Linked DNA regions of Sus scrofa. The protein of the gene in region 1 interacts with the protein of each later gene in a pairwise test. Links are inferred from orthologs where the notes say so. Each region holds a gene or a part of one and is shown on either strand. Other genes may lie near its edges.

Region 1 (5,153 bases):
AACCCTCAACCTCATGGTTCCTAGTCCAATTCATTTCCCCTGCACCACTAAGGGACCTCCAGAGAACAAACGCTTTTTAAGCATATGTCTTTCACATCTATTTATAAATTTAAAAAGTTCACTTTATTACTAGAATAAAAAATTAACTGGGAAATGTAATTTTAACTTCTAGTCTAATATAGATAAATATTTATGAAGGCACTCAGAGGAGTTAAACCAACAGATATAGGGGTTTTTTGTTTTGTTTTTGGTCATGCCTGTGGCATGTGCAAGTTCCTGGGCTAGGGATCGAACCCGCGCCACAGCAGTAATCCAAGCCACTGCAGTGACAACACTGGATCCTCAACCCACTGAGCCACAAGAGAACTCCAGATATAGTTTGACAAACATCAAACTGTAACTAGAGTAAAGCAAGAAGGCTTTAGACTACAATGAAGTAAAAATGCGCTGAATCTCAAAATATTGCTTTACTTAAGTCAAAACCAAAAAAGTACCATTTTAGGCTTTTCTTCCTTTAGTGTAAAGAGGCGTTTCCACCAGCCCACAGCTCTGCGTCGAGTTTTTACCAGATTGCTGCAAATTTCATGGAATCTTTGCTGTTGCTCAGTGGTCCTAGAAAAAGAACTTTAGCCTTTACTATAAGCAAATCTTAATAGTAAACAGATACACCATCCTCTCAAATTTACAAAGCTATTTGTCTAAAGAAAATCTAAATAAAAAACAATAGTGGTTCACCATTTTCTTATAGAAAAATTTCTTGTACCAGTTAAGTCTCTTTTTATCACATAGGAATTAACTTTTAACATAAAGACGTGTGTGTGTGTGTACAAAGCAATGGTTATATGTGGTTCTAAAACAGTATTTGGTCAATGATAGAAACGAAAGATTCATGACTGCTACGAGCCATGCAGTAATCAATATGAATGAATTTCCCTAATCCTGTAGTATTCTGCGGATCCCAATGAATCCTGGGCTATAGCCCATCTGAGGCCCACCACTTTGATAAGGAGGAGACCTTTCTACCAAACCGCTGTATGTAAGCACTCTTCTTCAGTAAGGTAAGAACTACCAGCATTCAAGGCACAATACCCTCAAATGGGCTTCACCCATTTGATGCCAAGGCAGCAACAAACAGCTCAAATCCAAATTCTTTATAAATTTAGTTCCTTTTTTAAAATTTTTTTTTCTTTTAATCTTTTCATCTCTTTTAGGGTCACACCCAGGCTAGGGGTCTAATCAGAGAGCTGAAGCCGTGGGCCTATACCACAGCCACAGCAACTCAGGATCCAAGCTGCATCTGGGACCTACGCCACAGCTCATGGCAACACCGGATCCTTAACTCACTGGGCGAGGCAGGGGATCAGATCGAATCCGCATCCTCATGGATGCTAGTCGGGCTCATTAACTGCAGAGCCACGACGGTAACACCTATAAATTGAGTTCTCATGAAGGGAAAACAGAATCATAAGCAAAACTTCAGTAAGAACACAAAAAGATCTTCCAAGAAAAATCCTTTTTAATTCATAATTTATTTTGGGTTTTGATAAAAAAAAAAATTGCCTTGGTAGTGTCTCTGCTAGACAGACAGAATGGCTGCTATTGTAAAGCAAGCTCTATATACTGCGGGTGTTTTGCTTTTGATTTCTAGTCCTCATCCTTGTGAGCCTACAGGGACACACTGTAGAAGGGTTTCCGCTAAGCTCTGCAACTTCCTGTAAATAATTAGACCTCATATGCTGTTCCTGGTTAAGGCTAGACTGTGGCTAGGTAACTGTGTTCTTCCTTCCTCATAAAAGCCAAAAAACTAAAACTGCTCTGTGGGTAAGACTGAGCCACACACTGAAACCTCAAAGGTTTACTGCTGAAAACTTTTCTCCAGGAGTTCAGTGAACTAGCAGATTAGAATGTCACCTGCTAACAAAGTCAAGGTCTGAGGTTGATTCTGTTAAGTTGTTACATGACATAGTTACAAGCGTGCCCCCAAACAGGGGCATAATTCATTACTGCACAAGAAAAACAATTCAAAGGACATTTCCTAACACTAATCCATTCTGCTGCGGCAGAAATATCTTAATAAACATGCTTAATTATCCCATAACTTAAGCAAACCCTACTGTTTAAAATTGTTGTTTTTACAGAATTATTTTATAATTCACTATTATCAGGGGAACAAAATAACTAAAGGCCTAAGTAGACTACTAATCACATTAAAATAAACACCCAAGGTAGAGAAGCAGCTAGCAGGAAAAAAAATCTAGTATCTAGTTTTGTTCACTATTAGGATCAAAAATGAGAAATGCAACCTTCTAGAGGGAAGGTAAAAATAATAGGATCTGCAGCCATTTAACTTTATCTTGGGAACTCATAAGTAACCATTTCAAAGAAGAGCAGAGATGAAAGCAATAACCCACTTGTATATATAGCCTGAATCTATTCTAAAGCACTTAGCGTGTATTTTGCCATCCACCACTGCACTGTGTCAACCTGAAACAAAGGATCCTAAAACTCAAACTATTTCACAGCACCCAGGGCAGTTAGTGTGTCTTAACATAAAAGTAGATATTCAATAAATAGATGCTAAATGAATAGGCCGGGGGGGGGGGGGACAAAAAAAAAAAACCTCCAAAAAACTATATTACTGTTCTCATATTTATTCAAAAGTAATTTGTAAAATTAATATTATCTTAAATATCAACGGAAAAAAATCTAAAAGTAGACATACTACTTTTATGGAAAGCTCATGATGAGTTTTGCAATCCTAGATAAAACATTACCTAAAAAAGCCTCACTTCAAGCAATAAATCTACCCCCCAGTATCTGGCGGTGAAGACAATTCTCTGGGCTTAATTACAGCATACTAGTCACAGATACCAGGTTCAGTAACTTCTCAGAAACTTGACTGCCAAGTCATTGTTCCACCTACCATTTATTGGAGCCAAAAATTCTAGGTGCTAGAATGGGAACCAGGTAGTCAGCCAAGCACAAAAACATCACAAAACAGGAAACACCGGACAGAACAGATGGATCTAGATAGTAGATAGTCCTGTTTAAAAAAAAAAAAAAAAAGAAAGGTTATAAAAACATATTATTCCTAGCTGAAGATGTTTATTCATCCAGACCTCTGCTTCTCAAAGAGATTATCTGCCCTTTCCATTCTAATTTTCTCACAAGTGGTTTTCCGGAAGCTTCATGACATGATGACATCAGAGCTGCAAGGGTTCATGTAAACATCAAGAGACAAAAGCTTTTCGGGGTACTCAATACTTTTTAGGAGCATAAAGGCTCTTAAGGCCCAAAGTTTAAGCCATAGATTTAAAAAAAAATTTTGTTGTTGTTGTTGTCTTTTGTCCTTTTAGGGCCACACCCATGGCATATGGAAGGTCCAAGGCTAGGGGTCTATCTAATCGGAGCTGTAGCCGCTGGGCTACACCACAGCCACAGCCACGCCAGATCCGAGCTGCATCTGTGACCTACACCACAGCTCATGGCAATGCCGGATTCTCAATCCACTGAGTGAGGCCTGGGATCGAACCTGCAACCTCATGGTTCCTAGTTGGATTCATTTCCACTGCACCACAATGGGAACTCCCTCAAAAAAATTTTTACTCAAAGTATAGTTGATTTGCAATGTTCCGTCAATTTCTGCTGTGCAACAAAGTGACCCAGGCATATATACATACAAAACATTCTTTTCCTCATGTTATCTTCTGTCATGTTCCATCACAAGTGATTGGATATAGTTCCCTGTGCTGTACAGCAGGACCTAGATTTATTTCACTGCATTGGGTTACGGAGCTTACAAAAGTACTACAAATTCTGGAAACCAGGCCTGCGGTTCTAAGAAAAGGCATTCTTCACAGATTATACATTACAAAAGACTTCAGGCACTTGCATAAATGGAACTGGAGTCTTTATTAGTAACAAGCACAATCCACAGTAATTTAATATCTCACTTACAGAAACACCAAAGAAACCACGCCCATGATGGCAGGTGGAAACCAGGCTCTTTCCCATCGGAGGACTTTATCTGCCATCAGCATCACTTCTCCCCATCCCTGCAGCTGCTCTTCCAGATTTGCAGTCTCTGCAGCCTACATATGAGCAACATTTAAAGGGATTATTTTACTAATCTCCATATTTTCGTGGCTCCTAGAGAGTTAAATTCTTCTAAGGCACCAAGCATGTAAAAGAGCTCTTATAAATCACTATGGTTTTTTTGGCTTTTCAGGACCACAGTCATGGCATACGGAGGTTCCCAGGCTAGGGGTCGAATCAGAGCTGCAGCCACTGGCCTAGGCCACAGCCACAGCAATGTGGAATCCGAGCTGCATCTGTGACCTATACCACAGCTCACAGCAACACTGGATCCAAAACCCACTGAATGAGGCCAGGGATCGAACCAGCGTCCACATGGATACTAGTTGGACTCATTACCACTGAGCCACAATGGGAACTTCCACAAATCACTATCTTAAACAAGTTAGTCTTTAAAAAAAACTCTGCAGTTTTGATACCAAAGCCAGAAATTACGGGGGAAAAATTATCACTTAATGGTCACCTTCCAACTCTAAGCACTGGGCTATTCTTTATGTACATAATAACCCGTATAGAACCTCATAAAATAAGGATAATTAGATCCATTTTACAGTAAAAAGAAAGTGAGCTCAGAACGGTTGCTTTCCAAATTCTCTTGTGGTGCATCGAGTTAAGGCATTGTCACTGCAGTGGCTTTGGTTGCTGCTGTCGTGTGGGTTCAATCCTTGGCCTGGCCCGGGAACTTCCATACACAGGAGGGCACAGCCAAAAAAAAAAAAAAAAAGTTGCTTTCCCAAAGTCATGTCCTACTAAGTGGCAGCTTTCTGAAAATGAAATTACATCACTTTAAGTTTGCTCATTTCAGGTGGTTACAACTAATTTGTTGTTTCATTTCACTGACTTAACCCCCTACTTCTGAATCCATTAGGAAAGCCTCTTCCTGAAGAGCGGTTTCCAAAACAGCTCTCTGTATAATGGAATCATTTAGATGTTGGCATCATCTGCACAATTAGGAAAACTACGGGTGCTTTCACCAAATTATATGAGGCACAGTAAGCCCAATTTACCTCAATAAAATGCTTCTGACACTTAGCAGACATTGTGGTTAGACTTTAAAT
Region 2 (6,356 bases), on another chromosome or scaffold:
GGTCTCTGTGAAAGACCTGAGGAGCACAGGGAGGTGGGGCTGAGGCAGAGCTGCCCCAGTTCACTCCCAGTGTGTGCGCGCGGGGGTCGGGGGGTGGGGGAATACTGAGGGAGATGGAAGAAGGCCCAGCTGGGGAAGCTTTGGCTTGACCTCAGGGGTCAACGTGGACTTGAACTTGGAGTCTCCATTCATGCATTCATTCGACCATGGTTAACGCAGTGGTTACCACATGTCAGGCTTTGTGTTGTAGATATTAGAGATGAAAAAACTAAGACCCTGTCCCTGCCTTCAAGTTCATTCACCTAAGGCCGACACGCACACCCACCCACCCACCCACACAGTGACGTGAATGCTTTAGCCAGTTATAAATAAGGAAAGGGGGAGGGTGAGGAAAGGGTTCAGGAGGAGAGCCTTCGGGTCACTCCTGAAAGTTGAATTAGTGGGTGTGAGCCAGACAGACAAAGGGTGAGAAGGAGAAAAGGCATTCCAGGTAGAGAGAACTACATGTACAATGGCTAAGGGACAGATCTCTTGACAGAACTGCAAGAAAGGAGCTTGGCTTGAGGAGTGAGCAGCAAATGACAAAGCTGGATGGAGAAGCAGGGTCTGGACCACGGCAGGCTTTGTATGCTGCAGATGAAGTTTGGCTCTTATCTGTGGGTAAAGGGGAGCCATCAAAAGAGTGTAAGCAGGCCAGTGTGTGTCAGAAAGAGCACTGTGCCAGCTAGCATGGAGATGAGATGCAAGGAGATGCAAGGACAGAGCATGGGGGACAGGTATGACAGCTGTTAGAGCAGAAGAAACTACAGCTGCAATTTCTAAATACCAATCCATACGAAGGATCAAGGGAGTTCATTTTTTTTTTTCTAATGATTTTTTTTTCCCTTACTGGCCATTCTAATGATTATTATTAAATATTGAGTAAATACAAAAATATTTATAAAATATTCATAAGGTATAAAGACTAATAACAATAACCCTCCAGAGGGATTGGCTGCGTCTTTGGACACAGGTTCGATCACCAGGCATGTGGCTGCAGCTAGGATCTGATTCCTGGCCCAGGAACTCCATATGCTGCAGGGCAGCCAAAAAAACCCCAAAAACCAAAACAAAACAAAGATTCAGACAGAAGGAAAACTAAACAGTTGATGGAAACAAACATAGGTGCTACACTGTACACAAGAACAAGGATATGATGAACACAAAATTCAGGATGCCGCTCATTCCTGGGGGATGTGGGGGGATGCGGACGGGAAGCGGTGCCCAGTGTAGATACAAAGGTAATAGTAATGTTCTCGTTCCTAGGCTGGGAGATCAGTGCACGGGTATTTATGTTTTATATTCCAGAAATGTTACATATAGTGATTTATGTGTCAACTACTGCATAGCTTTTTTTAAAAAAAAGGTGTATACAATAATTAGAAAAAAGAAAGCTGTCAATAGTGTCAAGTGCCATAAAGAAGTCAGTTAAGGTGAGACCCTCAGCCAGCAACCTGAGTTTGGTATTGAGGTCACTGTGCCCTTTCCACAAGCATTTCTAGTAGAGAGACTGGGAGAGAGTTGGCTGAATGAATGACTGAATGGATGGATGAATGGAATGAACTGGAAGGGATGTGGAGCCAGGTCAGCTCTTTTGTTGAAAAGTGGCTGAGAAGTGAGGGTGAGAGGTTAGGCTCTAAGTACGGGGAGCATTCCTCTAACATCATTTATGAAAGTAACGCATATACTTAAACAAAAAGGAGAGAGAGAGGGAGGGAGGGAAAGAGGCAGGGGGAGAGAAATAAACTTAAAACCTCTTCATGAACCCTCAGAGACAACTGCTTTAAACTCTGTGGTGTATGTGAGGGAAAGTTTTGGGGTCTTTTCACTCCTTTGTTTTCAAGATGTGAGAGGCTCAAGCAGAGTTTCTTGCTGTAGGCAAGAAGTAGAAACCTGGAGTTTCCGTTGTGGCTCAGTGGTTAATGAACCCAATCCATGAGGACGCAGGTTCCATCCCTGGCCTTGCTAGGTGGGTTAAGGATCCGGCGTTGCCGTGAGCTGTGGTGTAGGTTGCAGATGCGGATCGGATCCCACGTTGCTGTGGCTCTGGCATAGGCCAGTGGCTACAGCTCCGATTCGACCCCTAGCCTGGGAACCTCCATATGCCATGGGATCGGCCCAAGAAATGGCAAAAAGACAAAAAAAAAAAAAAAAAAAAAAAAAAAAGGTAGAAACCTGGCGGGAGAATTGTGATGTGAGGTCCCAGAGCAGAAAGTGACACATTGGACGAGGGCAAACAGAAGGAAATGTTTCCTGAATTGGAAGGAGGGAGCTGACATGTTCAGGAGTGAGAAAGTGAGGATGTGCACGCAGGAAAAGCTCAATTTCCTTTGAAAGGAAAGGAAATTCCTCACTGAGGGAGTCTGATGAGGCAGGGACTTGAGGATGGGAAAAGGACTGGAATGGTACTATGGATAAAGGGCTACAAGAAGAGTTCTCAGTGGAAGACAACACAGCCCAGCAGTCTAAGGTGGGGCAGCAAGGGCACCTGAAAGGATTAATCCTGGGTGGAGTATTCAGTGGGGTGATGACGGTCCGGGTAGAAGAAAAGCCTGACTGCGCCAAACTGGGACGTGAGTCAAGAGGGGCCTGGGGACTGACGGGGGCCACCAGAGGCCTAAGACCAGATATGAGCGCCGGGCAGCGGGAAAGGATGGAAGACGCTAGTCCCATAGAATTCAGTTTGCTTTCCAGGGCGAGGCGCTTCCCTTCGCTGACACGGACGATGGTGGACTGGAGCGCTGAGTAAAGTTGACATCAAGGAAGTTGAAGAAATGGTATGTGGGAACCTACCTCTGGTGATGGTCATATCGGTGTCTCTGAGGGTCGTACTCTCCACCCACGTCTACCACGATGTCACAAGAAGCCAGTTTCTCGGGGTCCCGGGTCCGCACAATCTCTGCATCCTGCAGGGGACAGAAGTGGTGAGGGGGCTGCTAAGGTCGCACGGGTAGAGGGTTAACGTTGGGCTTCCAGGGAACCAGGGAGGAGAGAAGGGGAACTCAGGCCACGCGAACTACCACAGGGACCCCTCAAGGAGGAGGACGTGCACCGCCCCAAGACTCGCCAGCTGCCCCCAGGTCAGTTTGGGTGAATCGTACCCGGTACTCGGGCAGGAGGCGCAGCAACGCGCAGGCCAGCGCCTCGTCGCAGTGGAAGGTGCCATTGTGTGTCCCGATTCGGGGCGGAGCCATGAGGTGGCTGCGGGGCCTTTTGGAGGGCAAGACGAACTCCAGGCTGAGCGTGCGATGCGGACCCCAAAGGGTTGGCACCGGCGGCAGCGGGAGCAGCAGAGGTAGGAGACCGCGCAGGAAGCGGTGTCCCATGCAGCTTACCCAGAAGGAGGGCGCTGAACCGGAAGGGGAAGTGCTGGCACCGCCTTACTTCCGCTTGCCACCGTTCCCACAGCAACCAGCCTTGCCCGGAAGTGTGGGAGCTGCATTCCCATACCTGCTCTTCCAAGGGCCCAGGGTGAAGCCGCCAAGATGAGCACTGCATCACACCTGCTTATCAGGCACTGGGAAGGGACGCGCCCTCTCACCACCGCCCTCCCACCTCATCACTCGTCTTGTGCTTAAGGCAAGAAAAGACCAACACTCTGCCCAGCTGGCACATTTATTAGTTAATACACAAGACCCTCCTCCTCCCCCATTCTAGGAAACCACGCTCAGAAAGTCCAAGGCTCCTGAAGCAGGAACCCCCATGCCATTTCTGAAACAAGCTCTCAGGCTTTGGCAGTTGCCTGAGCTGCTCCCAGGGCTGTGAGCTGCTGAATCTTCTGGCTCATCATCTCCATGACAGCTGTCGGGAAAAAGTCAGATCTTGGTCAGAAGCTAAAGGGGAGAACCCAAAGTTCAGGAAAAGTGACAGGCAGACAACATACCATAGTTAATAAAACCTTTAACTCAGTGAGCCGCTGTGGAGGACACACATAACACAAATTTATAGAGTCTAAGATGTGTCAGTAAAGATGATAACAACTGGGATATAAAAATGAACAAACACAGGAGTTCCCGTCATGGCGCAGTGGTTGACGAATCTGACCAGGAACCATGAGGTTGCAGGTTCAATCCCTGCCCTTGCTCAGTGGGTTAAGGATTTGGCGTGGCCGTGAGCTGTAGTGTACGTTGCAGACACGGCTCAGATCTCGCGTTGTTGTGGCTCTGGTGTAGGCTAGTGGCTACAGCTCCGATTCGACCCCTAGCCTGGGAACCTCCATATGCCGCAGGAGCAGCCCTAGAAAAGGCTCAGAGACAAAAAAAAAAGAATACAAATGAAAAATGAAAAAATACATATAAAGAGTCACATATAACCAGAAAATTATAACATTGAAAAGATTTCTGCCTTTATAACAGTGATTCTCAATCCTGACTATACAATAGAATCACCTGGGGAACTTTTTAAAAAGCATTGCTGGAGTTCCTGTTGTGGCACAGCAGAAGTGAATCTGACTGGTATCTACAAGGATGTGGGTTTGATCCCTGGCCTTAATCAGTGGGTGGTGGATCTGGCGTTGCTGTGAGCTGTGATGTAGGACACAGATGAGGCACAGATCCTGAATTGCTGTGGCTGTGGTGTAAGCCGGCAGCTGCAGCTCTGATCAGCCCCTAGCCTGCAAACGTCCATATACCTCGAATGCGGCCCTAAAAAAGAAAAAAGAAAAAAAAAAAAAATCATTGCTTCCTGGAACACGCCCCCACGCCCACAGATGGATTTACAGTTGACCCTTGAACAACATGGGTTTGAACTGTGCTGGTCTACTTACACATGGGTTTTTTTCAATAGTAAATACTATAGCACTACATGATCCCTGAGTGGCAAACGCAGAACTGAATTTCTTCTACTTCTTGAAGCGCTGGTGCCCAAAGCCCAACTCTGTTCAAGGGTCAACTGCAGCTGATTTGGAGTAGGCCCAGGTTTTCTTTTTAAATTCTCCAGGTACAGCCAAAGCTTTACTTGCCAGTAGATAGCTAGTTAGGGCTTTATTTCTTTCCTGTGTGTTCATTTACATGCATCTTTTTCCCTATTCCATCTACATTAAATAGGATCTCAAACACAAAAACACAGATGGGATTTCCTTTCTCTAAATTTCTCAAGCACTGAACCCAGGAATCTAGAAATAGCGGATATGTGATGCACAGCATCTAAAGAATAATACATCAAGACACCAAAGAGAAAACCATGGTTTTAATCCAACAAAGGGGACACCCGCCATGGTTCACGCTGCAATTCATGTTCTTGATTATTATGGAGGTAGAAATGGTGAAGAGGTGCCCAAGGCCAAGCTTACCCTGTTTCATGGCATGCTTCTCCTGCAGAGCTGGCTGGATTTTCTCCATTTGCTTGGTGAGGAAGTCTATCTTCCTCTTGAAGAAGTCCTTGGCATCTTCAGCTGTCTGGAAGGTCAGAGGTGAAGGAGGGGCTAAGAGGAGACCTCTTTGTGCACTCTGGATCTCTCCCTAAACTCCCTCTGCCTCCTCAGCGGGGCATCCATACGCTTCCTTCCACTCACCTTCTCTACATAGTAGCCAGTTCCCACATCGATGAGCACATGTTCCACATCATGCAACTTCCCAGGGACGTACATCTGAGAAGCGAGGATTAAGGGAAAACTAGCCCAGCATGAGTCCTGATTTCCTGTCGGCTCATCTGCTTGACCTCCTAAGAACCCCTTTTTCTAAAAACTTAAAAGGTACCGGGATCAGATAATCTGGAGGCCTACACACTCCAAAGGGGAGACACAGGGAAGTTGGTTCCTTATGGAGAAAATTACACATGCTGATCTTGCCCTGATCTCACTGCCACCCTCCAAGAAGTTCTTAGAGTTCTTCCCATTAGCCCTTCCAGAAAGACTAGATGGCTTTTTTTATTGTCTTTTTTAGGGCTGCACCCGCGGCATATGGAGGTTCCCAGGCTAGGGGTCAAATCGGAGCTGTAGCCACCGGCCTATGCCAGAGCCACAGCAACGCGGGATCCGAGCCGGGTCTGCAACCTACACCACAGCTCACGGCCACGCCGAATCCTTAACCCACTGAGCAAGGCCAGGGATCAAATCCGCAACCTCATGGTTCCTAGTCGGATTCATCAACCACTGAGTCATGATGGGAACTCCATAAAGACTAGATGCAGTGTTTCTTTTTTCTTTTTAGGGCCACACCTGCAGCATATGGAAGATCCTAGGCTAGGGGTTGATTCGGAGCTGCAGCTGCCAGCCTACACCACAGCTCACGGCAACACCAGATCCCCAACCCAGCGAGGGAGGCCAGGGTTAGTAGTGGATTGTTTCTGCTGCGCCACAATGGGAACTCCTGGAATGA

Evidence for each region.
Region 2: the proteins of ARL6IP1 (region 1) and C5H12orf10 interact in binary tests that used the Homo sapiens proteins (3 or more experiments, as listed by UniProt). The two-hybrid records come from large-scale screens. The link is inferred for Sus scrofa from reciprocal best matches to the Homo sapiens genes ARL6IP1 and MYG1.

What each region holds. Positions count from the first base shown.
Region 1 is NC_010445.4:26,762,472-26,767,624, reverse strand, and holds part of ARL6IP1 (ADP-ribosylation factor-like protein 6-interacting protein 1), read right to left. Parts: intron 4,092-5,153; coding exon 3,958-4,091; intron 3,044-3,957; coding exon 2,924-3,043; intron 625-2,923; coding exon of another isoform or gene 613-624; coding exon 495-612; intron 1-494. UniProt on the Homo sapiens protein: Positively regulates SLC1A1/EAAC1-mediated glutamate transport by increasing its affinity for glutamate in a PKC activity-dependent manner.
Region 2 is NC_010447.5:18,514,209-18,520,564, reverse strand, and holds the start of C5H12orf10 (UPF0160 protein MYG1, mitochondrial), read right to left. Parts: upstream 3,619-6,356; 5' UTR 3,366-3,618; coding exon 3,141-3,365; intron 2,946-3,140; coding exon 2,833-2,945; intron 17-2,832; coding exon 1-16. Other genes in the region: PFDN5 (prefoldin subunit 5), read right to left, coding at 3,764-3,840, 5,330-5,435, 5,552-5,626. UniProt on the Homo sapiens protein: 3'-5' RNA exonuclease which cleaves in situ on specific transcripts in both nucleus and mitochondrion. Involved in regulating spatially segregated organellar RNA processing, acts as a coordinator of nucleo-mitochondrial crosstalk.